5 linked regions of the Daphnia pulex genome follow. The protein of the gene in region 3 interacts with the protein of the main gene of each other region in a biochemical or structural test. Links are inferred from orthologs where the notes say so. Each region holds a gene or a part of one and is shown on either strand. Other genes may lie near its edges.

The links.
Region 1: the proteins of general transcription factor IIE subunit 1-like (region 3) and general transcription factor IIF subunit 2-like form a complex in vitro, tested with the Homo sapiens proteins (2 studies listed by BioGRID). The link is inferred for Daphnia pulex from reciprocal best matches to the Homo sapiens genes GTF2E1 and GTF2F2.
Region 2: the proteins of general transcription factor IIE subunit 1-like (region 3) and general transcription factor IIF subunit 1-like form a complex in vitro, tested with the Homo sapiens proteins (3 studies listed by BioGRID). The link is inferred for Daphnia pulex from reciprocal best matches to the Homo sapiens genes GTF2E1 and GTF2F1.
Region 4: of the proteins of general transcription factor IIE subunit 1-like (region 3) and cyclin-dependent kinase 7-like, one has a biochemical effect on the other in vitro, tested with the Homo sapiens proteins (3 studies listed by BioGRID, with this or other methods). The link is inferred for Daphnia pulex from reciprocal best matches to the Homo sapiens genes GTF2E1 and CDK7.
Region 5: the proteins of general transcription factor IIE subunit 1-like (region 3) and general transcription and DNA repair factor IIH helicase subunit XPB-like form a complex in vitro, tested with the Homo sapiens proteins (2 studies listed by BioGRID). The link is inferred for Daphnia pulex from reciprocal best matches to the Homo sapiens genes GTF2E1 and ERCC3.

Annotation. Positions count from the first base shown.
Region 1 is NC_060025.1:405,055-410,742, forward strand, and holds general transcription factor IIF subunit 2-like, read left to right. Parts: upstream 1-2,364; 5' UTR 2,365-2,518; coding exon 2,519-2,712; intron 2,713-2,781; coding exon 2,782-2,933; intron 2,934-3,059; coding exon 3,060-3,146; intron 3,147-3,210; coding exon 3,211-3,335; intron 3,336-3,395; coding exon 3,396-3,539; intron 3,540-3,598; coding exon 3,599-3,715; 3' UTR 3,716-3,930; downstream 3,931-5,688. Other genes in the region: 40S ribosomal protein S3-A-like, read left to right, coding at 5,084-5,116, 5,321-5,404, 5,465-5,688. UniProt on the Homo sapiens protein: TFIIF is a general transcription initiation factor that binds to RNA polymerase II and helps to recruit it to the initiation complex in collaboration with TFIIB.
Region 2 is NC_060018.1:349,316-355,842, reverse strand, and holds general transcription factor IIF subunit 1-like, read left to right. Parts: upstream 1-2,647; 5' UTR 2,648-2,956; coding exon 2,957-2,974; intron 2,975-3,033; coding exon 3,034-3,069; intron 3,070-3,127; coding exon 3,128-3,201; intron 3,202-3,268; coding exon 3,269-3,546; intron 3,547-3,626; coding exon 3,627-3,926; intron 3,927-3,991; coding exon 3,992-4,238; intron 4,239-4,302; coding exon 4,303-4,562; intron 4,563-4,621; coding exon 4,622-4,697; intron 4,698-4,748; coding exon 4,749-4,949; intron 4,950-5,011; coding exon 5,012-5,219; 3' UTR 5,220-5,379; downstream 5,380-6,527. Other genes in the region: regulator of microtubule dynamics protein 1-like, read right to left, coding at 1,177-1,218, 1,290-1,404, 1,469-1,606, 1,668-1,975, 2,035-2,183, 2,245-2,474, 2,538-2,620; uncharacterized protein LOC124188758, read right to left, coding at 5,510-5,647, 5,708-5,798, 5,851-5,952, 6,013-6,142, 6,230-6,344. UniProt on the Homo sapiens protein: TFIIF is a general transcription initiation factor that binds to RNA polymerase II and helps to recruit it to the initiation complex in collaboration with TFIIB. It promotes transcription elongation.
Region 3 is NC_060024.1:11,575,353-11,581,717, reverse strand, and holds general transcription factor IIE subunit 1-like, read left to right. Parts: upstream 1-2,127; 5' UTR 2,128-2,255; coding exon 2,256-2,376; intron 2,377-2,435; coding exon 2,436-2,599; intron 2,600-2,657; coding exon 2,658-3,019; intron 3,020-3,079; coding exon 3,080-3,323; intron 3,324-3,394; coding exon 3,395-3,590; intron 3,591-3,650; coding exon 3,651-3,832; 3' UTR 3,833-4,100; downstream 4,101-6,365. Other genes in the region: cytochrome c oxidase assembly factor 5-like, read left to right, coding at 971-1,081, 1,174-1,275, 1,340-1,402.
Region 4 is NC_060020.1:945,210-950,983, reverse strand, and holds cyclin-dependent kinase 7-like, read right to left. Parts: upstream 3,157-5,774; 5' UTR 3,083-3,156; coding exon 3,011-3,082; intron 2,951-3,010; coding exon 2,888-2,950; intron 2,817-2,887; coding exon 2,535-2,816; intron 2,454-2,534; coding exon 2,326-2,453; intron 2,262-2,325; coding exon 2,084-2,261; intron 2,013-2,083; coding exon 1,840-2,012; intron 1,786-1,839; coding exon 1,644-1,785; 3' UTR 1,608-1,643; downstream 1-1,607. Other genes in the region: glycosylated lysosomal membrane protein A-like, read right to left, coding at 1-9, 111-227; NADH-quinone oxidoreductase subunit B 2-like, read left to right, coding at 662-812, 885-988, 1,066-1,275, 1,335-1,538; DET1 homolog, read left to right, coding at 3,383-4,531, 4,589-5,095; cAMP-regulated phosphoprotein 19-A-like, read right to left, coding at 5,459-5,656. UniProt on the Homo sapiens protein: Serine/threonine kinase involved in cell cycle control and in RNA polymerase II-mediated RNA transcription. Cyclin-dependent kinases (CDKs) are activated by the binding to a cyclin and mediate the progression through the cell cycle.
Region 5 is NC_060020.1:5,844,935-5,848,867, forward strand, and holds general transcription and DNA repair factor IIH helicase subunit XPB-like, read left to right. Parts: upstream 1-1,133; 5' UTR 1,134-1,292; coding exon 1,293-2,484; intron 2,485-2,554; coding exon 2,555-2,818; intron 2,819-2,883; coding exon 2,884-3,812; 3' UTR 3,813-3,887; downstream 3,888-3,933. Other genes in the region: RNA-binding motif protein, X-linked 2-like, read right to left, coding at 1-115, 177-335, 640-653. UniProt on the Homo sapiens protein: ATP-dependent 3'-5' DNA helicase/translocase. Binds dsDNA rather than ssDNA, unzipping it in a translocase rather than classical helicase activity. Component of the general transcription and DNA repair factor IIH (TFIIH) core complex.

The sequences.
Region 1 (5,688 bases), on a different chromosome or scaffold from region 3:
TTAGATTTATAATATTCCTTTTGGGTAAGATTGTTATGCAATGAGCAACTATACGTATAAGAGTTGATGTGCCAGCCACTCGGCGATATTCTAAGAATCGGGAGTGTTTGATAGAATGAAAGAAAGAAAAGAAAAAAATCCAGCTGTCTTGGACGTTTCATGTCATCATGTTGTAGGTAGAGAAAGTTGATGATTTATTACGCGACTTATTCGTTCGTCAACCGGTTTTTTTCGTTTCTTCCCGCTGGGCTACAAGTCTCCCGACACGCTATAAAAATCGCAAAGGTGTATGTCTATTTACGCCCGTAATGATACTACTCGCAGCAACCAATGTATATGCGCCCAGCATACTTAAACAGCCCGAAAGAAAACGACGATGGTTGCCGACGACGACGACTTTCAGGGTAGGAACTTTTTTTAAAATAAGACCGATGGGGGTGGAGCAGGGAATATTCTTTGTGAGCTAACCGATGATTCCAATTTGGCCGACAGGTGACGGTTTTTTATTTTCTTATTTTTCTGTGTTATCTAGTGGGGGCAAGGTAGCATTTTATGATCGCCAATGAGCGATGTGGCGTTTATATATAGGTCAGATAATGCGCGACACATTTGTCATTTCTGTTTTAGTAGTCTGTACTTTTGCGATCAATTAGAAATTTCTCTATTCATAATTGTTGCAGATTGTTATTGTTATTGTAAAGATTAAAATAGACAGGATAACGTATTAAATCCAGTCACATGGGCGGTCACGGATCATCCTTCATATTTTTTCTCTTTAACTTTCATGGGTTCACTAATTAAAAAAAGTTGTTTTTTATTTTATTTTTATTTTTTGGCTTAGAGGGAGACGGTAGGAAGCTGGAGAATAGTAATTAAACTAATTAGAACTCACACATTGCAAGACGCAAGAGGCAAGAAAAATTAGCCGTGAAGACGAATGGCGAAATTAAATATTCATGATTTTATGTGTTCCTGGAAGAGTTGGTCTTGAAGCGATGGCATACTTGAGATTGTTGGCTGCACAACTTTACTTTCATAAAAGCTCATAAAATGTTTTCTTACTCTTTGATTTTATTATGAAATAAATAACAATGAAAGAATCATAGGTTGAATATGAAATATCTTTTAATAAATCGCAATAACCGAATTAATAGCCTAATATTTAATTCACACATTTTCTTAATCACCTTGAATGTACTAATTGGAATACAAATTGCAGTTTAAAGTGCGATAACCGCAACTTGGGTTATGACTTTTATTCTCTGTTCGTTTGCATTCGACAAGAATATTTAGACTCACTATAGCTTATACTCACCAGTGTAAAATGATCAAATTTAAAATAGCCTATTCGTTCTTTCTTCGGTAGATAATTTCTTTCAATTATCTTGGACTAGTGTATACAACTTTCAAACTAAAATATATGTTTCTATTCTCTCGCACTGTCCATTTCAAAGCGCAATCAAGTATGTTGTATATTCGATCACGGAGTGGAGTGCTGGCCTGGTCGTCAGCTTCTTGATTCCGCCACCAGCGGCCACCATGAGAAAGGGAAACCCGTTTAGAATTTCAAATTGCTGTGCTCTTTTTATTTTTACCGTTTCGCCATCTCTTGTTTAGACAAATCTATGTTATACATGTATAGCAATTCGTACTAGTGATAGAACTCAATTATAGTAAAAGGAGTTAGTGGACGGACATTGTCCCCCCACAAGACATCGCCTTAAGTACCAATCTAGTTGTTATAACTTTCTCGATTTCGTAGAATTGTTTGATTTTGAATCCAGTTACAAGTGGTAATACATATTCCGATCGAATCAGACCAACTAGTACAAAAAGAGGTTTCCCAGTTTCTGCTTTGTTTCAGAGGGCGATTATATACTTGGCCAGGCATTCCGGTGATTTCGTACTTATTAAAATTCCAAACATTCCGAATCACTTCTCACGGGGCGTTATGAAAAATACCACATTATTCCGCGTCTGAAAGTTACACAGATAGACGTCCTGATTTGCAAATTCCTATAAATCTAGAAAGGCAAGAAAATAATAATAATAATAATATTAGGGAATTCATACTGAAACAAATTTGAGATTTGAGCATTGAGATATGCAATCAGGGTTACATTTGAGGAGGAGTAAAAAGCTAAATGAAAAAATGTTGGCCAATCAAACTATTTCCTGTTAAAAGCTTATTAAAGGGATTGTGCAACAACAAATTTGATCAGTTATTTTTTTTAAGGCCATTAAATTTCCATGCCATTTCGATTTTTGGGGGGTTTTATTAAAGAAAAATGCGTTGACGAACTGATGGTTGCGTAAACTTATCTAATAAAACAAAAGAACGCGCTCTGGCGCGATTTATAGCAGACGATAGACTTGAAGACCTTTTCAGTTGTGTGACGTTGTCGATTGAAAGAAGAAACGATTACTTGTTTTATTAAAGCCGGCCAATATTTAGAACTACATTCTCTTGAATAGGTTTTTCTAGTACGTTGAAGCAGAATTTTTAAAACTGAAAACCATGGAGTCAAAGAAAAAGGAGAAAGAAAAAGAGAAAGACAAGGAGAAAGACAAAGATGTCATCGTTTATGAAAGGGAAATGGAAATGTCTTCAGCTAGTCGGGGTGTTTGGTTGGTGAAAGTACCAAAATACATTTCAAGTCGATGGGATAAATGCCCTGGAAATATTACAGCTGGACAACTGAATATTACTAGGTATGCATCAATTGGTTTATGTTAACAAATCGACAAATCCTTTATTAACTCATTACAACTCTTGTTCAGGGTGCAAGGACAAAAGTCTCAAGTCAAACTTATTCTGTCGGAAGCTATTATGTGTCTCCAGGAAAAAGGAGAGGAACCTATTCCTAAAGAGCATGGATTGATTGTTTCACACATTACTTCACAAACATTGGGTGTATTTTCTCAACAAACCAGTACGTACTACTTGACAGTTATGGGGAAGATTTTTATTTTAGGCCTGAGCTTAAAGCATGATATTTAAAGTGGCGTGCTTGCAATTAATCTAATTTAATATTGACATTTTTGTATTGTTTCCCCAGCTCCAGCCACCGCGAACTCACCTATGGAAACTGAGAAGATCATATTTGAAGGCAAAGTTGCCCAGAAGCTTGAATGTAGACCAACAGGTGAGACCAACAAAATAAAGTTCCTAAGCTTGAAGTGAGCATTAATGATTTTTATTTTCATCAGCAAATGCAAGTTACATGAAACTCAAAAGGGATTCTTTGATTAAAGCTGCCCAACCTACAAGAATTGTGAAGCAATTGGATCGAGTGGTTCAAAGTTACAAACCCATCTCTGACCACAAGCATAATGTAAATATAGCAATTCTCGTCTATTTTTGGTACATCATAACCTTTTATTCCTGATTACAGAAAGAATTCGACGAAAAGAAGAAAGCTGAGGGTAAGAAAGCCAGAGATGATAAGGGCAAAGTTATGGACATGCTGTTTGCAGCTTTTGAAAAGCATCAGTACTACAACATCAAGGACTTGGTAAAACTCACCAACCAACCTGTGGTAAGAAAAAGTTGTTTTCATACAAGCATTTGCACTTTTAAAACCCTCTGCTTTTATAGACCTACCTCAAGGAAATTTTGAAGGATGTTTGTGTATACAATTTGAAGAATCCTCACAAAAACATGTGGGAACTGAAACCGGAATACCGCCACTACAAAGATGAAGACAAGGACTAATAAGTAAACAGTCCATTAACTTTCTAATAAAGCTGTGATTTTCAGAAAACTACTAAACAGCTCTTGGATGCACATAACTTCAGATAACTCAAATGGGTTTCAACTGCCCTTGAAATTGTTCGATAAAATGTTCTCTTAGGCTACAATTTTCCCTTCGTCTAAAAATTCCCGTGCTAACAAGTGTGTGGTCCAATACATCGATGCGAACTTGAAAATTTTACCAATATAATTTATCCCAACCATATCAGGAAGAAATGATTTCATGAGCGAGTTCAGTGCGAAAAGTAGGCTTATGTGCTAACGAGGAACCCCTTTTAAACAGAATCGTAAGATTGTAAAAACAAGAATCAAGTAAAAGGTTACATGTTAATATTTACAGCTTTTCATGGTACCCTACTTACAGTTAACATTATATTATCTCAGTCAAAAGCCATAATCTATTAGAATAGCAACAGCCTGTCTCTTGATGAGATTCATCATCCAACCATGATTCAACCAACAATTTAACGCTGAATATAGTTATCTACAAATTAATTTGTTTTAATTTTCACTAGTTACAATTTGCCAGAATGTAATTTTAAAAATTGTTTATTTGTCAATATAGATACTATAAAATACACCAAACAGAATTATTTCACCAGGAAATCTGCAACTTCAGGTAGCGATGTGAGGGTTCCTGTACAACAACAGAATAAGAATTAGCATTTCAACATCATAGAAAACCATTTAAAGCACACTTCAACAAATTATCCACAGTGTGCCTCAGTGCCTTCAACATCAATTACTTTATGTTACTACTATCAAATGTTTTAATTCGGTTCAATCCATGTGTTCCAAATAAGGAGACAACGGTAGATCAGAATAAATTTTAATTTAGCATGTCCGCTTGGCCACTATAAGCTAAGTAGAGCTAGTGTGGTTCAAAGGAATGCAAAATTCAGTCTTAGTTGCATGAATTAAATAAGATATTTACCGAAACGAATACAAAACTGGCTAGCAGCAATCAAACCAGATGGGGGAGCTTCACATGCTTCAAATGGCGTTTTACAGTCCTACTTATAACATTTGATTTCGTCCAACGCTGTTGAATTTCGGACTTCCTGTCGGAGTTGACAGATGGAAAATCTACAATAAAACTTTTGAAATCTTTTAAACAAATATGAACCAATTAAACTTGTTTATAATTTATTATTTCTATAATGATAGTTGAAAAAATTTTAAAAAGCAAACTGAAATAAATTATGTGGGAAGATGAATTCCGAAAGAGGGGGTTGAGAAGGAGGCAATGCTGGGCTTGTCAACTTCGTCTACAGAAAAAGTACTGTGTATTCCTTCTTCCTCTCGTAGACCGGTCTTAAAATACGTGAAATGGCTACGGCTCAGATCTCGAAAAAACGAAAGGCAAGTAATTCTTTCAACACGTGAATCTTTTTCATCTTGTTCTCACATATTCACCGTTTGAATATTGAGGTGTTATTGATGAAATAGAACAGTTTCTAACCAGGATGTGAAAGATTTTGGAGGATAAAATTCGTCTTGGCTTGACATGTTTCTATTGTCAGTGTGCTTGAGTTTACCTAATTTTCTTATAATTTTGTATTACAGTTTGTGGCGGGAGGTGTCTTCAAGGCTGAATTGAACGCCTTCTTGACCCGTGAATTGGCCGAAGATGGTTATTCTGGAGTTGAGGTAATTCTTGTGAAATTATTTTGTTACTGTGTAGATATCTAAAACCCATTTTCCTATTAGGTGCGCCTTGCCCCCACTCGCACAGAAATCATCATTCTGGCTACACGTACCCAGAATGTTTTGGGTGAGAAAGGCCGTCGCATTCGCGAGTTGACATCTGTTGTCCAAAAGAGATTTGGCTTCCAAGAGGGAACTGTTGAGCTCTATGCTGAGAAGGTTGCTACTCGTGGCTTGTGTGCTATTGCCCAAGCTGAGTCCCTGCGCTACAAACTCATTGGTGGTTT
Region 2 (6,527 bases), on a different chromosome or scaffold from region 3:
TTAAAAAATCCCCCCGTTGGCCTGAAGTGAAATAGCTTTGAAAATAAGACATTCTACCCAGACATATCATTCTTTCTCTTTGGGTGCATTTCATTTTCGGCCATATAAGTGTCGATCCGTCTTCTTCCAGCGCGGCGTTTTCCAATTGGCCAGTCTCGGTTGGATAACCGTAGGGGTTACGTCACGCGGACCCGTAAAACTATCGATGCGTAACAACACAGTCTGAGTGCCGGGACGTTTCAACGTGTAGGCAAATAACTGTTGGCTCTCACGAAACCTCTCCTTAAATTTCCCTATTAGGAATTGTGTGCGCATATTCCAACAGGTGAACTCCCCGTCCTGGGCCCCTCAAGGCTCGTGCGCAACGCGGGACTTTCCCTCTGAAATAGTAGCTTCCACTTACACCTACACACAATGCCAAAGTGTGTCATATACTATTGCCTTCGTTTTATCTCTACCCGCACGAATTGTATACGCAGTTGGTTATCTGTTGATTTACAGACGCCAGACGAACGAACCAGTTCGGTTGCCATACAACCAGGCGGAGTTGTACACAATTTTAGATTCCAAGCAGACACACACACGAATGATAGTGAACGAAAATAATCGAGGACTTACTTTTCACGTGATCGCCAAACAGACTGCCAGAAAATTTCCACAACCACCTGTTTTGCCTAATTAAAGAAAACAGGATTTTCTTTTAGTTGAATCCAACAGGGAAGAGATGAAACAAAGTAAAAACTTGTAGAAACAAACTCCTGACCTAGCAGACACAGTCAAATAAACAAGTCCACAAGCTCAGAACTACACGAAGCAACTCACAATGCCGACGGACCGTCACGTACAGATAACACATACGTCGTATCCTTTCCCTTCATATGGCTGGCGGGGATTCTAGCTCGGCACATTTCGGGCTGTGGTGACACGCAACGCTACCTATCGGACCTATCGAGAACAAGTGAATGAACTTTGTATTCGTAAACACGCACGGGGAAATTTGGGAAACTGTTGCACTATTGCATGTTGTACCGATAACACACACACAAGGAAATCATTTAATAATAAAAAAACAAACATTTTTGATTAAATTTCAAGGTAAACAGAAGAGGCGCATACATTTTTCTTTATGTGGAAGGATATGGGTAAATATCCTCGAGCGTCCTTGGAGCCAGCGGCCTATCTGATGGAATTTAATAGCTTGACTGCCTCGTGTTTGGCCTATGATATCAATGTAAAACCATTTTTATCAAACAATAAAATGTAGAAAAGGTTAATGCGTTATATGTCACCTCCAAATCTTCTGACGAGGCGATAGCATAATCTCGAGCTCTGGTCAAATAAGCGATAGCTTTTTCTTTATTGTTGAGCCGCAAATATGTTTTCCCCAGCATCAATAAATTCGTACTGAAACGAAACCATTCAAAATGCACAATTATTTAGAAAAATGAAAAATTAAACCAAGCCGTACCTGTAAAAATTCGGCTCAACTTCTTCCGCTCTTAGGAAATACTGCAGTGCCTCTTCGTAAGAAGATACGGGCGGTGTAGCAAACAAGGTTGAGGCAATTTGCCTCTGAAGCCACGGCAATTCAGCAACAGAAAAGCACCTAAAGTTGCACGAAAATGTGTTACGTTACATACAAAAGAAAAGTTGTTATCTTGTCATACCAGTAGCCTAGCAAATGAAATGAAGTTGCATCCTTTGGGTTGAGTTCACACGCTCTTTCTATGTGTTTCTTGACGACAAACGATTGAGAAATGCGCTCCTTTAAGCCCTCGTAGGACGCCTTTTTATCTAACAAAATAAACATCCACTTGTGAGCAGCAAAGTTTTCCGGATCAATGAGCAGCGCCCCTTCAACATAACCGTATGCTTCAAAATCTAATTCTTTTTGTTCAATTGGACTGGACGATAATTTCGCTACTTCATACGTCGCTCGTGCCAGTCGCCAAAGAATTTCGGCATTATCTTCGGCCTAAAAAAAGTTTTTCCAACATTAAAACAGAGACTGACAAATCAGTTTATTCTTATTACCTTGTAGGGCAACAGAAGACTTCTCAATTTGGTGTAGGAATGCTCATTGTACAAGACATCAGCTTCAGAAATAAGATTGGTCTTATTTTCTCTTTCTTCATCAACTTTTACACTAGCAGAGACTGCAGGTAACAAACCCAGCATCCATCCTGCAGATTAACAAGTTATTGATTGTTTTTGTTACATGAATTCAAAAATTAGGCAACTTACCAATGTTTCTTGAAACTAGAGCTGGTTTCTTAGGAACAACATTCAGGAATCTTTTCCTGTACACAACAAATGCATGGTAAACTATTCCATATATTTTTCTCCCAGAGAACGATAACACCATGACGAACGCTTTCCACAACAGAAAGAAAATAAATGACGAAAAACGAATTAGGCAGTTGAGAATAGATAGGTAATCTAATTCCATGGCGACCAAAATTGGAACTAACGAACTTCAATAGTTGAAAAATGAATAATCATTTACTTTACTTGTAATATTACTTAACAATTTAGACCTCTTTATAAAAAAACTTTTTGATTGGCCATTTTTGGATATTTTAATAAGGTAAGTGAGAAATAGCCTTTCACAATTTATCATGTGGTTCAAGGCGGGAAGTCGACAGTGCAGTCTCGACGTGAAAAGAAAAGAACTGAAGCAGACGAAAACTGAACTGGGTCGTCGTCGACTATTTTTCTTCAGTATCGGGTCGGGTATAAAATTCGTTGGCGCTGTTTAAAGTGTCCCAATATTTTTTGGCATAGAAATTTCGATCACCACCCCTTAATTTTGGCCTATAATTTAGTAACGTGCATAGTTGGGTTAGTTATTTACCATTCGTGACGAACTTGTGACGAACACATCGGTGGTGTGTCTCGATCATTGTGTCGCCGGTGAGAAGTTGTTTTGTCAATCGTTTTTCACCGTCACATCATAATGTCTGCTGTTAACAAGGTACAATTTTTTTGTCTTCTCAATCAGTTAATTCAATATTAATACATGTGTTTCTCAAGACTCCTACTGGTGGATCAACTCCTGCTGCTACCAGGGTAAAGACATTTTGGTTTTTAATTAATTAGTTCAACATAATAATATGTGTTACATTAGACTCCAGCTGCTGGTGGATCAGCTCCTGCCGCTGCTGCTTCTAATGTTCAGACTATTGACATTCGAGTCCCCAAGTAAGAATATCAGACATTACCATCTAGATTTTTGCCTTCTTAAACCGAGTTTATAATGTTGTCACAGGAACATAAACAAAAAGCTTGCCATCATGAGATTCAATGGCTCAATGGGTATTGACTTTGTACAATGGAAAGATCCAAAAATGGAAAGGGAAAACAACCAAGTCACATTCAAAGGGTTCAATGAAGATATGCCAAAGTTTGGTGCTGGGAGTGAATATGGCAGAGAGGCTCGTGAGGAAGCTAGACGGAAGAAGTATGGCATAATAAGCAAAAAGTATAATCCTGAAAACCAGCCTTGGATTTTACAACATGGGGGAAAAAGTGGGAAAAAGTTCAGAGGTATACTAAAGTTGGAAACCAAGCTAAGATAGCAATAAGAAAGTTTAGTAATGTGCAATTATATTTATTTTATTAAACAGGAGTAAGAGATGGTGGCATTAATGAAAATGCATCGTACTACGTTTTTACGCAAGCACCAGATGGTGTGTTTGATGCCTTTCCTGTGCAAGAACAATACAGTTTTCAAGCAGTTCAAAATTACAAACCACTGAGTATTGAAGAAGCAGAGGAAGGGTACAACATGAGGAACAAAACATACAACATGTTCAATGTCATGATGAGAAAGAGACTAAGGAAAGACGATGAAGACGCCGAAGAAGAGGGCGAGGAAGAAGGTGAAGGCAAAGGAAAGAAAGGCAAGAAAAAGAAGGGAGCTAAAGGTAGGCAACAAGCAAAAGTTCCACCATAAATAATGTCACAAAATTATAACAACTTTTGCATTCAGATTCTCGTTTTGGTGATGAATTGGACGATATGATGGCATCTTCCGATGACGATTCTAGCGACGGCAATGATGATAACGACGACGATGATGGAGAAAGTAAGAAAAAGAAGAAGAAAGGCAAGAAACCTGTTAAGCCGAAGAAGAAGCGAAAGAATGCGTCCGATGATGAAGCTATCGAAGATAGCGATGATGGTGATGGTGAAGGCAGAGAGTTGGATTACATTTCCTCTTCCGACGATGACGAAAGGTATGTCATTAATCTTGATGCATTTGTCGATTTTCTAACACACCCGCGTTGTTCTTTAATCTAGTGATTTCGAGAAAGAAGAAGCAAAGGACGGACTAAAGGGTGTTGCCGAAGAGGATGCTCTCCGCAAGTTGCTTAACTCGGACGAAGAAGATGAAGACGAAGAAAAGGAGGAAGAAGAAGACAAAGACAAAGAAGAGGAAGATGCTGAAGGTGCCGAAGACCAGCAAGGTGATAAGGCTTCCAAAGACGAAAAAGGCGACAAAAAGAAGAAGAAAGAAAAAAAGAAGAACAAGGATAAAAAGCCCCGCAACGAGGATTATGGTAATATCCATTTAAAAACATCGTGTGTTTGAGTCAAATAATAACGAAACATTTATCAGGATCGTCAAGCGACAGCGGTGCCGAGAGCTCAGCATCCGAACTGGAGAAAGCTAAACCGAGCCCAAAAATGAAACCGTAAGTGCAGTAATTTGGTTTCCTGACAGTTAACTGACAAACTATTTCTAGGGGGAGTGCCAACAGTTCTAGATCAGCTACTCCGACGAAACCTGAAACATCGCCGCCTAAAACAACGCTATCAGATAGCAAGCGAAAGGGAACACCTGCAGTGTCCGATGCTCTTACTGGCCAAGCAACAAAGAAACCTCGATTGGACATGGCATCCGCTGCTTCAGCTGCCTCTGCCGCTTCAGCTGCATCATCATCTAGGTATTTATAAATAATGAACTAAAATTAATCCTGAAACGTTATGTATATTTTTTCTTTTACAGTGCCAATGAAGGAGTCAATGAAGAGTCTGTTAGACGTTATTTATCCCGCAAGCCAATGACAACGACCGAATTGCTTCAGAAGTTCAAAAGCAAGAAAACTGGTTTGTCGTCGGACCAGCTTGTCCATCACATTGCACAAATTTTGAAGAAGATCAACCCCGTGAAGCAGACAATTAAAGGGAAGATGTATTTGTCGATTAAGGCTTAGCGACAATAACGATGATTGGTGTGTTCTGTTTGTGCTGCAATCACTATTGCTACTTTACTGAAATTATCTCAGGCCTTCCCTTTACGGTTTATAAAAACGGACTAGAACGGTTGTTAAAATGCGTGATTTTCGGAACGATTAAACAAATTTGCAGTTGTAAGTTTTGGTATTATTTCAACAAGTTATCTGTTATTGGAAACACTTCACATTTTTAGATGAAAAACAGCCATTGAACTGACAAGTTAACATTTCTTGGTGGTGAGCAAGGTGCTGGATATTCGTTCAGAATACTATAGAGAGAAAACTTGAAGTCGCTTTGACATGTCTGCTTCGTCGTCTGTGCAAGCCCTTTTCGCGTTTTCAATCAAGAATTCAATATCTTTCTGATAATCGGCGGAATATTCGGCGACACTTTCGACGGAGAATTTCTGGACTCGGAAAATAAACATTAAAAGTGTATCAAAAACTACAAACATAAAGTAACCTACATTAGCAGCTTCTTTCATATAATTTGCAGCAGCTTTCCAGGATGGAGCAAATCCAAATGATACAGTCTTATTCATGACCATTGTCTCAATACTAAGAATTGGATACTTTAGTTTCAGCACAAATTTTATCATAACATGCAAACCTTCTTTGAATATCATATGTGACAGAAATCAAGAGTTCATCAACTTGTGGACATAGATATATAAAGTGAGGTCCATCATTGGTATTGACAAATTTAGTTAGCCTAATTAACACAAAGTTGAAATTCTGCAGTTAAAGAAGTATGCATGAATCAAACACTCACCAATTAATTTTCTCCTCATCGTAGGCTTCATCTTCTGTCCAGTGCTGAAAGTAACATTTAAAGTCGATAAGCAGGAATGTGGCTTGGGATGCTGGGAAATAGCAAGAGAATGGCACCAAGCTTTCTGAGTCTGACCAAATGGATTCAATATTAGTTAACATACCTTAGTATCGGTAAGTGATTATATTATTATTCATTCTTTAGCTCACTATCTTACAATGTATTTGAAAAGATCGTTCGAGTCTTTCTATAAGTACGTCGTTATTCAATTCATTGTGAAAAATGGCAATGGGTTTATTTTTCCACATATGATTTTCCTTGATAAGAAGCATTTCTGACAAAAATGACGAGAACTAAAAAAGAAAGATTCAAAATTTCAAATCTTGAATGTCAAGACTCAAGAGCTCGGTCTGTATAGCTGTCTCACTCGCGCTCTGTTATTAATCTAAAAATTCCAGCAGATGTCTCTAGTGAACGGTTGTCGTCTGCACTTGTTCAGTTGTTTGTTTTTTATC
Region 3 (6,365 bases):
GTTTTAGTGTAATTGATAGAGAGAATTCCATTTGTTATATTTTAATTTATCATGCAGATAATCAGTTTGAATTCAACATGGGCAGAGGAAGAGAAAAGAGCGTCTCGCCATCGTCTCGAAGAAGACAACGCTCGAGGTCAAGAGAAAAAGTTCGCGATAGATCTCGTTCACGAGATCGCAGTCGACGTGATCGAGATAGAGAACGTGGTAAGGTGGACAAGGAACGTGAAAGAGACAAAGAAAGGTCTAGGGATAGAGACAGAGACCGTGAAAAGCCAAGCAAATCAAGCCGTGAGCATGAAAGAGACAGAGACCGAAGGAGAAGATCTGCAAGCAAGGAAAGAAGAACCAAAAAATCAAAGACAAGAAGCAGATCAAGATCCAGAGAGAAGCCTGCCAAATTAGTCACCAGAAAACCAGTAACGTCAGAAGAATTCATTGATCCAACTGAAGAAGAAGCTGAAATGATGAAGTTGATGGGCTTTGGTACTTTTGATACAACTAAAGGAAAACATGTCCAAGGAAATGAAGAGCCAATGCACGGAACAGTTCAAGTTGTCCTCAAGCGAAAATACCGACAGTATATGAATAGGAAAGGAGGTTTTAATCGACCATTGGATCCGATCGCTTAATTTGAAAATGAAATACACTTCTTTGTAATAATGCTTTTGTGTATTTTGATTTTGGAACCTTTGATTTTTAAACAGGAAAGAATTTAATTTAAACTTTTATGGTAAACATAAAAAATTTTAGTCTATAAATCTATGATCGCCTGATCGGAATATCGGATGCTGTTTATTAACTACATAGCGTTGTTGTCTTGTTGACACTCAAAGCAGACGAACTTTTCACGGATTTCAGTATTCAGTTAGACTTTGGTCGTAATTCCAAAAAGATCTCTATAGTGACTGGTTAAAATATATCTGTTACTGATTTAAGATATATCTTATTTTCGGCAATCTTAAGTAAAATGCCTCAGAGTTTCTACGAACCCGAACAGTTAGTGGTAGATACGAGGCCATGCAGCGCCTTGCGCGAAGACTTGAAGTTCTGTATTCAGAACACAGATTGCTTCAAAAAGGTATATGTCTACGTGTTGTTATGAAAAATAATGAGTCACACGAAGTGGATCTTTTTAAAATTCCGGAACTAAAAATAATATGAATTTTCCAGGAAAAGAAAACACCCCGCCAATGCCTCTTAGAAAATCATCCATCCGTTCCTGCTGAGTGTCATCAACTTAGGCAGTCATTCTTTGAATGCAAACGTTCTATTGTAAATAATAATTATAATGTTGTTCACATAAATAGGAAATCTAAAAATAATCTTTCTTTATCAGCTTGATAATAGGCAAAGGTTTCGAGGAAGGAAAGAATATTCTGCTTCAACACCAAAGTCTTGAAGAGTTTCAATTTTCAAGTGTGGAGAATTTCTAGCATTGGTAAACAAATGCAGAATTGCAACCCCATGATAATTGATGAACAATGATTAAAAAGGCTCATACAAAACACTTTTGTGGCATTCTATAGTTTATGAATAATGTAGCCTACAGTGGTGAATCATAAAGAATAAAGATTGAATATGTTGAAACAGTGAAGCATATATACATATATACTATATTCGATTTTCGGGTGGTTCACGTCGAACAGCAGAATTTATTTAACAAACCTATTTAACAACCCACAGGCCACTTTTCCAAGAGTTTAAACTAAACAATGAGTAATCTCTTCTTCTCTATCTCTTGTAATTAGTTAAAAAAAAAACACTAGAAATAAATTTAAACCTAATTAATTTTAAAAATTGATGTTGAATAATTGAAGCCAGATCGGAGCAAGAATGCCTGCCTTGCCTACACACTTCACAGGTGTTTCGAGTCTGTTTTTAAATATTCATAATGAATTCACTTACTAACGATTTGATGATCAGTCATGCAATTTATTATTACATGTATCTCAAGATTTGCCATTCAATGTAATGTATAAATGTAAGGCCTATTCCAATCGATATTGCGTAACACGGTAACAGGCACGCAAAATCCCGCGAGGCAAAAAAAAAGCAAAATGCAAAATAATAAAAAATGTTGTAGATGCAGCATACGTGGCAATGTGGCAATTTCAAGAAAAGCCGCCTAAATAGCAGACGATATATTTGAGATTGTTTGATGTTGCTTTCTTTCTTCAGAGTCTAATGTTTATACACACTCACTCAATTGAAAAACTTTAATTTATAAGACTTCTTCTCTCTGAATAACTGCGATGGATGACGGATACGTCCACGAAGTACCGAGCAGCTTAAAACAGTTGGCTCGACTGGTTGCCAGGGCATTCTATACGATTGAGGACGCTTTGATCATTGACATGCTTGTCAGAAATCCATGTATGTATTGTATTTTTTGTCACTGAAACTTTTCAATTGAACCTTCAATTTTATATCAGGTATGAAGGAGGATGACATTGCAGACTTATTAAAATTTGAGCGTAAAATGTTGAGAGGTAGGATTTCAACCCTACGGAATGACAAATTTCTTCAAACACGCTTGAAGATGGAAACAGTGGATGGGAAATCTCAGAAAGTAAACTACTTTTACATTAATTACAAGGTAATCTGTGGTGAAACTGTGTTATAATTGAAGTTAATGTAATAATTTATATTTATAGATTTTTGTCAATATTGTCAAATACAAGTTGGATCATATGAGAAAGAAGATGGAAACTTCTGAAAGAGATGCCACAAGCAGAGCAAGTTTTCACTGTCCGTGCTGCAAAAAGAATTTCACTGATTTGGAAGCTGACAGACTATTTAATCCTGCTGACCCAAGTGGGGAATTCAAATGCAATTTCTGTGGTGCAGTGGTTGTTGAAGACGAATCAGCCATACCCAAGACAGATTCACGGCAGCTCATGGCTCGGTTCAACGACCAAATGGAGCCTTTGTACAAATTGCTAAGAGAAGTTGAGGACGTGAAACTGGCCCCAGCCTTGCTTGAACCAGAACCGACTGACATTTCTCATCTGCAAAGGTGAATTTTCCCAATCCTATGCCTTATCTACAAATCTTAATCTCTCACTATTTGCATTAGGGATGCCGATGGAAAACCCAAATCCAGGGGAGCCATGGGCGAAAATTGGTCGGGAGAGGCAACCAGAGGAGGTGTTTTCCGACTGGATGAACAACGCGTCGACGTCACTATCGGTGATAATGCTGTTGTCAAGAAAGGAGAGGTTCGCAAGGAGGCACCCATATGGATGAGAGAAAGTACCGTCGATAATGAAGCTGCTACCAGCGCCAATGACAATATTGCTGGACCTGCGATCATTGACGAGGTAAAACTGGATTCTATTATACAGTCTATTTTTAAAGTGACATCTTATCAATGAATATTAATTTTGTCCAGATGGAGCTACCTACTCTCTCTACGGAGAAGAATCGCAACCAAGAAGACATTATGTCCGTTCTTATGGAACTCGAAAAACCAACTACAAAGGCCGCTGTTCCAGCCGATTCAAGTGATGACGAAGCGGCCGCAAGATCTCTTCTTGAACAGATTACTCCGGCTACCAATACTATCCAACGCCAAGTGCAATACGACAGTAAGAATCGAATTTCGTTATTGGAATAGTTCAAATGTAAATGTTTGTTTTTCTTCTTAGGTGATGTCGAGCTGATGGACAGTGACTCGGAAGAAGAAGTTCCTATGGTGAGAGTTGGAAACTTGGAATTCCCTGTTCACGAAGTTCCATCGGAACAGGTTGCCCGCATGACGCCCTCCGAAAAGGATGCCTACGTCCAGCTCCACCAAGAATACATGGAAAGGATGGGCTACCTGGATTAACCATCGCTACCTCTCGACAAATTTGTACTCTGGCTGTTTCGAGTGTTCCTGGTGTAACTTGTCTGCTTCTCGCCAGATGGTCCCTGGTTGTCTCAATCTCTATTTTCTCAAGGTACTGTGTGCGAAAGGCAAAGAAAAAATATTCTTCCTTTTCCGTTTTCTCCTCTCTTTCGTTTCTTCTTCCGTTTTGCATTTGTGAGACTTGAGACTTCTAAAAACAAAAAATTTACAAACGCTACAGATTCGATTACACTTTGATTAAATTTTACGCCCTTTTATTCAAAAATTGAATTTAGAACGTAAGATTTTTATCAAATCTTTTTTTTTTAAATAATAAATCTACGCTTTTGATTTCAAAATCATTTTAAAAGTGGGGATGATGCACGTATGTTAATTGAATGTGCCGACGCAATCGAAATTGTCCTTTCCGGTGTTCTTTTATGGATGTTCCTCGTGCATGACGCGTGCGCGGTTCGTTTGAATTATTCCATCCCGAATAATTCAAATAGAATCAAAGGGAAAACGAGGGAAAGCGCTTATTACATCAATATACCACGCAAGACGTGGTCACTGGTTGTTTATATATTTAACTATCCACCGGCTTCGTTTGATGCAGCCGCAATTGCATGGAGATTGCGTCATATTCATTCAGAGTCAGTAGTAAACTTTGCAATTAATATGTACCACCGGCGTACAACATTGTATGTAGATCTCCCCTGCACGTATCTTGAACAACAATCTCGAAACATTTGCTTTTACCGCCCCTTATAATCTTTTATCTTGTGAGAATTTCCTGTACACAATTCCCAATTCGTTTCTGAGCCCGAGTCACGGATGAAGGAAGAAAAGCACAAGCGGTTTTTCTTGTCGGCCGACAAACTTTTATTTGACCCACATGTGCTTGTTGCGAGATAAGTCTTAACGAGCAAATAATTTCCTTTTTCTGATAAGTGAAAAAAACGTCAGGCCGGATGTAACCGACCGTCCGTAGAATATGTTTATCATATTATACGTAAAGGTGGGCGATTTGTTTTGATTGACTCTATAAGTGTACTATACGTACACATGTGGAAAAAGTGTAGAAAGAGAGGAGAAAAGGTGTGTCCCGACAACATGTTTTCCGACGCGTTCCATGTATGACATTCGACTCTTTAGAGTGTTGGTAGGGGGGGGGGGGAGGGAGGACGCATTAGAGTCCCATCTAAAGATGCCATTAGGTCTACTATATGTAAGGGCCCGTAGGCTATACTCTATACGAGATGGAGAGAGAGTTGTAAGAAGACACAGATTGAAAAAAGAAAAGACATTTTGAAAACGTAGAAATGAAGAAACGAGGCTGCATGGGCGGCACTTTTTGAGAGGCGCGGTGGCCATTGTCTGCGCACGTCGGCATCCTTTGTCGGCGCGGGGGGCGGTCAAAGGTCACATCATAGCCAACAATAAAAAGCCAATGGCCGAACGGGAGCTGTGTGCTTGTGTGCGCAGCAGCAGCATCACCCGCAGCCCAGCAACGCGCAGTCCAGCAGGACAACTCCCCCAACACCACCACCACCAAACAACCTGAAAATCGTTGCTGCCTAAACAACTCTTTCTCGATTTTTCCTACAAGACACCTGAATTAGTTTTGGCAATAGAAAATCAGATGCCTGGGAAAATTTAAAAAAATAAAGTTTTTCTTTTTCATCTGGAAAAAAAAGGAATGAAAAACCCAGTTGATAGTTTGGGGGCATCGAATTAAGAGCTGATCCGATGACTGCCGTATAATATTGGCAAATCTTTGGGGACTGGCCATCTTTTCATGATGGAGAAAAAAGGGGTGGAAGACGACGATCAATCCTCAACGCCGCGCTCCCACGCCTACACTAACTGTCAAAATATTCCGCCTTCCCACTCAATATTTTAAAGCGAACCCCGAAATCCGCATACAATTTCAAACCTCCCCTAAATTTGGATCATCACGTAATCACTTTGTACTTTTAAAAAAGGTTCATGAACACGTTGTAATCCCGATTACGACTTGTTATCCATTGATATCTTAATAATCCAACCCTCATTTGGCACGGGAACCGGCTTCTCATAACTAGACAGAACATAACCCGTTGACAATTTTTAAAATGAAACATTTGTAAATGCTTGAAAACTATTTGGAAATAACTGTACAAAAAAACCCAAATCTGTCTTTTTTTTTTGAAATTTATTGCCGCCATCTCGACGACGTTCGTCCAAAATGTTTTGTTTTAACACGAAGTGAAATTGCCAAAGTGGTCGGCATCGGTTGGAGACGTGTCGAGGCGTGTAGTGAGAGGTGCCGCCTTTTAACCGAAGACGATGGCGTGGGAAAGGGTCATGTAAAGCAGCAGCGAATCAATTGAGTCATCGAATCGGATGGCCGTCTGCGCCAGGCGCGATAGAGTCGTGTAGAAATCGTGGGAAAACGCTACCCCGGCACCACAGCAGCCAGCGCGTTTCATCTTTCCCCGCGATACTTCTACTTTTGGGATATGCAAAGAGCTATGGAGTGTTTTTTTGGTTT
Region 4 (5,774 bases), on a different chromosome or scaffold from region 3:
AGTGGTAACCTGTAAACAAAAAATGATTTATTGCTGTGTTAAGTAGCAATGTCACAAATAAACTAGGAAAGGAAGCTTGAAAAACAAGTGTAGGTAAACAAGATATTTACATTACGATCGTAATTTTTTTGTTCACCATCCAAGAACGTATAGTAGTCTGCAGATAAAACCAACACAAAAAGAGGTAATAGATTTAAAGCAGCAAACACCAGTACTAAATTAGTCATTTTTCTCAAGCCATCAATTCAATCCCTTGTTCATCTGTTAAAGTTCAGAACCAATTTGAAGGACTCGAATTATCACAAATCTCAAAGCCAGCAGACGCCCACTGAGTCATTTGATATAAATTCCTAGGGATAGGGAACTTCGTTACGCAATACGAAACTCCTCGGGGTCACTGTAAACATGCAAATCATGATAAATAATAAATTTACATAAACATAAATTTCAAATAAATAATATTATAAATTAATTGAAATTAAATTAAATTAATTTTTAATTAAATTTGACAACGTTGTCCTTCTTTTTCTCTGATTCTTTACTCATAGAAATTTGTCTGCTAGTGCCCAGAACTGTAGAGCGTAGCCGTAAAATATTTACTGGCGACTCTTGGAAATCAAGTTTTTTACTTTGTTGATCGATTAATTTACAGTTTAAGAATATGCTTGCCCTACGTGGAACATTGAATGGCGCCCTAGTGAAGTCCTTAGGGATTAACAGCAGTGTCTCAGTACCGTCGAGTTTGTCCATGACTTCTATCGTACTGAAACGGAATCAGAGCACCGTTCCCCAATCTGGAACTGAAGGAAATGGTAATTTTCCTTCCATTTTAGGCATTTGAGATCACTTCTTACTACCAACATCTTATCTTTGAATATTCTTAGCTGCCCTGGATAAAAAGAGACCATACTCTCCATTTCAAAACACCAACAATATGGCAGAGTATGCAGTTGCCCGGCTTGATGATCTTCTCAATTGGGGAAGAAAGGTAAAAATTAAAGATTATGTGAAGTTAATCATTAAGGATTAGCTGGAAAAATTTTAATATTCAACTTTCGCTCTCAGGGATCTTTATGGCCTCTGACCTTTGGGCTTGCCTGCTGTGCTGTAGAAATGATGCACATTGCAGCTCCGCGATATGACATGGATCGGTATGGTGTGGTATTTCGTGCTTCTCCGCGTCAGGCTGATGTCATAATTGTAGCTGGTACACTTACCAACAAAATGGCTCCTGCTTTACGTAAAGTTTACGATCAGATGCCCGAACCTCGTTGGGTAACCGGAACACTTTCTCACAGATATTAGGCATCATGAATTTATTTATTTATCTCCAGGTAATTTCTATGGGAAGCTGCGCTAATGGTGGTGGCTACTACCATTATTCGTATTCTGTTGTGCGTGGTTGCGACAGGATTATCCCAGTTGACATCTACGTCCCTGGCTGCCCTCCTACTGCCGAAGCGCTGATGTACGGCATCCTTCAGTTACAGAAAAAAGTAAAACGGATGAAGACTATTCAGATGTGGTACAGAAAATAAGCAAATGTGTCATAAGCTTCTGAAATTGTAAAGTTGTATCAACAAGAGTGGTGGAAATAAACCTAGAGGTTATATTAGAAACACATGTATTGGTTCAACCACTTATTAGAAAACTAAACGTTTCGCTAATGAACCTCCCTCCCCGTTGTCCGTCACTTTACGTTTTGTTCCGCTTTTGTCGACTGCTGCTTGACTTAGAGATGCAGGTAGAGGTAGAGATGATCCTGGAGCTGGAGCTGGTTTATTGCTGTTAAGGAAGAAACTTAGAATTTTATATCTAAAAATTAATCAAAATACATACCTGAAATACGGCATTTGCAAAGCTTCGCTACAAGTACACCTGTCTAAAGGATGCAATGCCAAAAAACGACTCAAAAGCTGCAGCAAATCATCTCCGGCGGCGGTGAAAATATGCCGCATTGGAATCACGGGGAAAGCCTTAAACTGAACAAAATCTGGTAGCGAAAGCAGTCCCTAATCAAGGAAATATGACTAGAGTTTAAAGGTGGGAGACGGTTGAGTTCAAAATTGTTTTATGTACTTACTGGCCAATTCTCTTCGTTTGGAGTGCCCAAAGTTGTAAAAATACGTGTAAGTTGATCTAAGTCAGATTCTCCAGGTAAAAAGGGGAGTCGAAGCAAAAGTTCAGCCATTATGCAACCTACTGCCCATACATCAACACCGGTACCGTACATTCGAGCACCAAACAACAGTTCTGGACACCTAGTTTCAGGTGTGATCAATTTTAATTTCAGCTGAATATTTATGTTGCATTTCTTCAAATTACCTATACCACCTCGTCACAACCTGGTGAGTGTAGATACGAGTGGGTGATGCAAACGATTTTGCCAAACCAAAATCACCAAGTTTCAGTATTCCTTGACGATCAACAAGAAGATTGTTAGGTTTCAGATCCTAAAATGGTAGTTGAAAAAAAAAGAATGTGCATACTTCTGTCATAATGTACAGGGGAAAAATATATATTATTATTATTACTCTGTGAAGAATAAATAGAAGATGGAGATATTCAAGTCCTTGAAGTGTCATAAGAATGTAAGCTTTAATGTGTGCTGGAGTGAGAATGATGGTTGTGTCCTTGATTATTTGCTCCAAATCAGTATCCATAAAGTCAAACACCAGAGATACATTAGAACGGTGACCAAAGACATCAAGTAAACCAATTATATGGTCATGCTTGAGTTCTTGGAGTAACTTGATTTCTCTCAAAGCTGTTCGATTGATTCCATCTCTAGCCTCTTCTCGTGAACCCAGTTTAATCTTGAACAGAAATAGTGTTAGTATTTTATAAACGAACCGGAAACGCTGAAATGAAAACACATTTTTTAAACCTTTTTAACGGCAACTATTTTGTTATCGTTTAGAGTATCTTTCGCCTTGTAGACTGTCGCAAACTAAATTACAAAATAAAACAGTTGAACATACACAAAAGACAGTGCCAATCAAAACCTTACCTGTCCTTCTCCCAAAAATTCAATCTTTTCATATCGCTGAAGTCTAGGTTCTCTTTCTCCACTCACGTGCATTTTTCATTCATACACTCAAAGTTTCTTTCAACTTTTAATCACCCGTCAAGAACGATTATTTTAAAATGGAATTTCACTCGTCAACAGGTGGCGTGAAAAACTATTGTTTATCTTTCTATTACCACCGCTAGATCGATCTGTTCTACAAAATGTTTCGGATTTTGACATCTCAAACCTGCTTCAGTTCTATTTCACATGTGCTTTATCACTAAAAATCTGAAACTTCTAAAATTCACGGCGAATAAAATGGGAATTGCAGATACGTAGTAAAAATGCCGAGTAATAAAAAAGGTTCTGAAAATGATGAACCCCAAATATAGACAGGCTGACCATGGTGAGTTCGAGTTGACTCCTAGAAAAATTCCCTCGCAGAATGTTGTAATTCGACTGATTCGTCGAGAGACTCATGTCAAACCCGGAAACTATCACATTTGCCGATCATTTTATCAAAGTGTTGTCCCAAATTTTACAATTGTCAACATAGAAAAGCCACCATGCTATTTGAGAAAATTTACACCCAACGGCAAGTACTTTATTGCATTCTCTTCAGATCAAACTTCAGTGGAAGTTTACAAATATCTTGGACCAAGTGCAGTAGAAGATTTACTTACAGATGTTCCAGGAACGAGAGAGTTTGTTGGAAATGATACCAATGAAGCTGTAAATTTAAGAAGTAAAGTATTTTCTAAATTCTTCCAGTTAAAGCATACTATTGCTGTAACTCCTGTTGGTGAACAACTAAATCGCGAATGCAGTCTCTTTGTCGGTGACGGAAGATTTGTTATTGTCGGTTCAGCCTCGTACGTTCCCGAAGAGCCCCAGCCAAATTTTTTTGATATTTTCCGTAATAATGAATCCGTATCTCCTCATCCTCGTTCTCCACTAGAAGATTGCTCACTTCACATCGTTGACATCGTCAATGGAAGGCTCTGTGATACTAGAACAATGAAGACCGACAAAATCTTTCTCTCACACAACCAAGGACTTTACTTGTATGAAGACACTCTAGCAGTTCTCTCTGTCCAGCATCAAACGATACACATTTTTAAAATTTCACACGATGGCTATTTTGCTGATGTAAAAACTATAGGTCGATTTTGTTTCGACGATGACGAATGGTTAATCAATCAAGTACGGGGACTTTGGCCTTCGGGTCAGTTGGTTCGTCCGTTTCGAGAGGCAACTGTCAACGCGCTCAAGCATCGTTTACTAGTGTTTCTCTACCGACGAGCAATCAACATGGCTGAAGCCGAAGGGAATCTCTTTCACGTACGAAAGTTCTATCAGAACTTTGATCACATTCGCGCACTCCGAATCTGGAAAATGCAGTTGTTGGATGAGTCACATTTGCTTCTGAAATATGCTAGTGAAGATGTGGTTACACTACGAGCTCCAGACCCAAATACGCAACCGGCCTTCTTTGTCGTTTACAATATGGAAAACGCACAGGTATCTTGATTATAATTAAAAGAAAAAAACTTAATCCCACGTATTATTGTTTTACAGGTTATTAACGTCTATGAAAACACAAGTCAGGAACTACTGAACTTGTTCGAGAACTTTTGCGATTTACTACGCAACGCAACACAAGGATCACCGTCCAGCAACGTATTTGCAAACGTCATTCATCAACGATTCAAGCAGACCATTGTCAGCGCTCGCTTTGGTGGGCAGACGGAAGCCACAAAACGACTTCTTTCACAACTTCCCATTTCAGCACAATCCTATTCCTCTTCGCCTTACCTTGATTTGCAGCTGTTTTCCTATGACGATAAATGGGTTTCGCTCATGGAGCGTCCAAAGACTAGTGGAGAGCACCCCATTCGTTTCTACGTCCGTGAATCTGGACTGCTGCGGTTTCGCATTTATGCTGGTATTCTTGGCCGGCCAGCTCCGCCTTCTTCTGCCCGTCGCCTTGTTGCTTTCACGTTTCATCCAACAGATCCATTTGCCATAAGTGTTCAGAGAACCAATTCCGAATATGTAGTCAATTTTCACGTTCGTCACATTTAAATTCATGATTTAAAAATACAAATCATTTGTGCTGTATTGAAGTGGTGCCACTGTATGTATTTCATTTTTTTAACGGGGGAAAGGAGTCTAACTAGCGTCTTCTGATTTACGGAACTCCTGGTTATTTCTCATCATTTCAAGCGGAAAAAAAATGAAGAGAGGCGGTAAAATAGTAAAGAGCGCGGCCAAAGATTGAGAAAAAAATGTTTTAAAAAAGATTTAAGGGAAAAAAAAAAAAAAAAACTGATGCAGACACCGAAACGTAACACGATCATGAAGATATTACACCAAATTGTATACAAACTGCCCGATACCAAATTCATGCCCGCGAACGGTTAAGACTTTCAGGTGATGTTGCTCTTTTTACATAGCAGGACTTGCCAACTTGCTCTGAATGATGGATGTTTTCCTGGTAGGAACAGATTCCGGAGTTGGAATGGCATCCCCAGTTGGGTGTCCAAGATTGGCAGGTGGGATTACTGCTGTTGTTGCTGCAGTTGGTATTTTAGCTGGTCCTTTTTGTTTTGCCATTTGGTAATCTCCAGAGTCAAAGTACTTTTGCTACAATAAAATTATAAGTGAAATAGAATTAGTTGGTAAAACATTTCAGTTGGCAGATTGCATTCAAACTTTCTCATATTATTGCACAATGGAAAGTAACACAAAACACAGCCAAAAG
Region 5 (3,933 bases), on a different chromosome or scaffold from region 3:
ATTGTCAACTGCAAGAATTGTTGATCTTTGATCTTCGTAACATAAAAAACAAAAGCCTTTAGACTTGCCTGTAACCTTGTCTCGTACTAAATTGATGTTTGCAACCTCTCCATACCTTAAAAAAAAATTTTAACTATTAATAGCAATAATAAACATCACTTAAGTATTAACCATACTGAGAAAAAATGCAGATGATGTCCCCCTCAGACAATTCATAAGGCAATCCTCCAATGAAAATCCAAGCACTGTCTTTGTATTGATAATGCCATGAAGCTTTTCCTGATATGTTGTACTTCAGTTCAGTCTCGCTGAGTTTCTTGATATTCTTCACATTCCTAAGAAAAAGGAAATAGCCATATTAATAATGAACTTATAATATATTCTAGTCTAATAAGGTAGCATATAATATGCTTCGTTCTACGCAGCACCAGCAGATAACATGATTCCAAACTATATTTATGTTGTCCAGTCCCTACATTACAACACCCCCACACAAAACCTTCGATAAGTTTTATTATATTTACCCTCACTATGTGTTAACATACTTTTTAAGTTAGCCATAAATCGAAAATTTCTCACAAATAATATTGATACAAGATTATGAGTTTATGAATGATGCAAAAGCTATGTAGTACTTACGTTAGTGGATTCATCTTCGTCCAACAGGAAAGTTCTCGTAGAGTTTAGTTTAACTTGAAGATGGGCATTATTGCAAGGTGAGGAGTACTTAAGTCAGGATCGAAATCCGAAAGAATAATAACTGGATGTATTTGATTGAATTATTTGAATTGCTTTTCTTATTTCCGATGGCAGTTAGCGAAATGCCACTTGCCAAACCAAAGCCAAAATATCAAGCAGACGATCACGTTCAAGGAAAGAAGGCATGTAAGACGTACCGAGTGCGCCTCTGGTGTTTAATATATGCATAAACATCTGCTATTATGATCTCCGTTGATTGCTTGAATATAGGAAAATAATTCATTTAATTTAGAAGTTAGAAATAAGTTTTCAAAGTATAAATTTACTCGAAACGATCAAGAAGTACAAAATATAATTCTCGTTCTTGATTTTCCGCTAGGTGTGCTATGTGTGCCCGAACCATGCTTCTGCTTCAGGCGATTTATTTTTGTGTTGTTGCTCTCTCTCAGCTGAGTTTTCACTGTCAGTGTTCAGTCTTCACTTCAGTGTTCGTCCAAAGTTCATCATTCAATCACTTTACCGAGAAAGTTAAATTTGTTTAGAATTTTCCAGCAGTATTCATAGAATAATTCACGGTTATTCCTCTGTTTAATATGGCTGGGGGGAGCCGTAAATACGGGAAAAAAGATGGAGATCGTTATGACGCGTCCAAGAAAAAATTTGCTGGTAAAAAACGAAAGGATTTTGAAGATGAGAGTGCTTATGATGAAGGCATACCGGATGGAAATGAAGCTGAGGGTGTGCCAGAAGCGGCAAAGCACTTCATTGAAGTTGAAGGTGAAAGGCAAGGGGAAGATGAATATGGAGCCAAAGATTATCGAGACTTGCAGCTTAAACCAGACCACATGTCTAGACCATTGTGGGTTGCTCCCAATGGCCACATCTTCCTGGAGTCATTCTCACCAGTCTACAAACACGCTCACGACTTTCTGATTGCAATAAGTGAACCAGTTTGTCGTCCAGAACACATACATGAGTACAAGTTGACTTCTTACTCATTGTATGCTGCCGTCAGTGTCGGGCTGCAAACTCATGACATCATAGAGTATTTAAAGCGCTTAAGCAAAACTGCTGTCCCTGATGGAATTGTAGACTTCATAAAGATCTCAACACTCTCTTACGGCAAAGTCAAATTAGTGTTGAAGCACAATCGCTATTTTGTTGAGTCTCAATATCCAGATGTCATCCAAAAATTGTTGAAAGATCCTGTAATTCAAGAATGCAGACTTCGTCACAGCGTGGAATCTTCAACAGATGGACTGATCACTCAAGTTCAATCAAAAGCAACGTCTATTCAATTTGGAAAACCTGGTACTTCAGGAGAGGAACCAGGAGAAGAAGGAAAGCAAGTGCCTGATGACATATCGAATTTTTACGACAAAATGGACAAGGATGAGGACGACGAAGATGATTCTTCTCTTCAAACGGTTGCATTTGAAGTAAATCAAGAAAAAATTGAAGTCATTCAAAAGCGATGTATTCAGCTAGAATACCCTTTGTTAGCGGAATATGATTTTCGTAACGACACTCATAATCAGGACATAAACATTGATTTGAGACCTGCAGCTGTATTGCGGCCTTACCAGGAAAAAAGCCTGCGAAAAATGTTTGGCAATGGTCGTGCTCGCTCTGGGCTCATTGTTTTGCCTTGTGGAGCTGGTAAAAGTTTGGTTGGTGTGACAGCCTGTTGTACAGTTCGAAAAAGAGCTTTAGTTCTGTGCAATTCTGGAGTTTCAGTCGAGCAGTGGAAAGCCCAGTTTAAGATGTGGTCTACTGCTGACGATAGTAAGAAGTTGTTAATATGTTTTTATCTTTACTTGATAAATAAATGTTTTTTTTTTTTTTTTCATTTCAGGTATGATCTGTCGTTTTACATCTGATGCAAAGGATAAGCCTCATGGATGCAGCATCATGATCACAACCTTTAACATGATAACACATCAGCAAAAACGTTCGTATGAGGCAGATCAAACGATGAAGTGGCTCCAGGAGCAGGAATGGGGTATTATGGTGTTGGACGAGGTGCACACTATTCCAGCTCGCATGTTTCGTCGTGTTTTGACCATTGTTCAAGCCCATTGCAAGCTTGGTTTGACAGCTACTCTCGTCCGCGAAGATGGTATTTGATTATTTTTACCTGTAATGTATTTATTTGTCTGATCAACGATTTTCTTTATCTTACAGACAAGATTGCAGACTTGAATTTTTTGATCGGACCAAAGCTGTACGAGGCTAATTGGTTGGAGCTGCAAAAACGTGGATTCATTGCTCGAGTACAATGCGCTGAAGTATGGTGTCCTATGAGCCCAGAATTCTATCGCGAGTATCTGGCCTGTAAATCCGCAAAGAAAATGCTTCTCTTCGTAATGAATCCTAACAAGTTTAGAGCCTGTCAGTTTCTTATTCGCTACCACGAGCGACGTAATGACAAAATCATCGTTTTTTCGGATAATGTGTATGCTCTTAAGCACTATGCGCTTACCATGAATAAGCCATTCATTTACGGTCCAACATCTCAGAACGAAAGGCTTCAAATTCTACAAAATTTCAAACTGAATCCGAAGGTGAACACAATTTTCGTCAGTAAGGTGGCTGATACTTCCTTCGATTTGCCTGATGCCAACGTGCTTATTCAAATATCCTCGCACGGTGGCTCTCGTCGTCAAGAAGCTCAACGTTTGGGGCGTATTCTTCGAGCCAAGAAAGGTGCCATTGCGGAGGAGTACAATGCGTTCTTCTACACGCTGGTATCGCAAGATACATTGGAAATGAGCTTCTCTCGTAAACGTCAGCGATTCTTGGTTAATCAAGGATACAGCTATAAAGTCATCACTCGCATGGCGGGCATGGATCAAGACCAGGAATTGAACTACAAGAGCAAGGAAGAGCAAGCCAACCTGCTACAAATGGTTCTGACAGCATCGGATATTGATGCAGATGAAGAGCGTGTACCCGGAGAAATTGGAGGTCGGCCTGGTCCATTTGGACGACGCGTTGGAACCATGGCATCAATGAGCGGTGCCGATGACGCAGTTTATATGGAATATAAACGCCCATCAGCTTCAAATAATTTATCCAAACACCCCCTTTTCAAGAAATACCGCACCAAGTAAAGATTTTCCAAGTCATAAAATGTGATTACTATATCTCAAAATTCATGTTGAATAAATACAGAAACTGGTTTAATACTTTTTATTTCTCACTTTTTTTTGGTGTCTGGTGACAGGTGTGTGA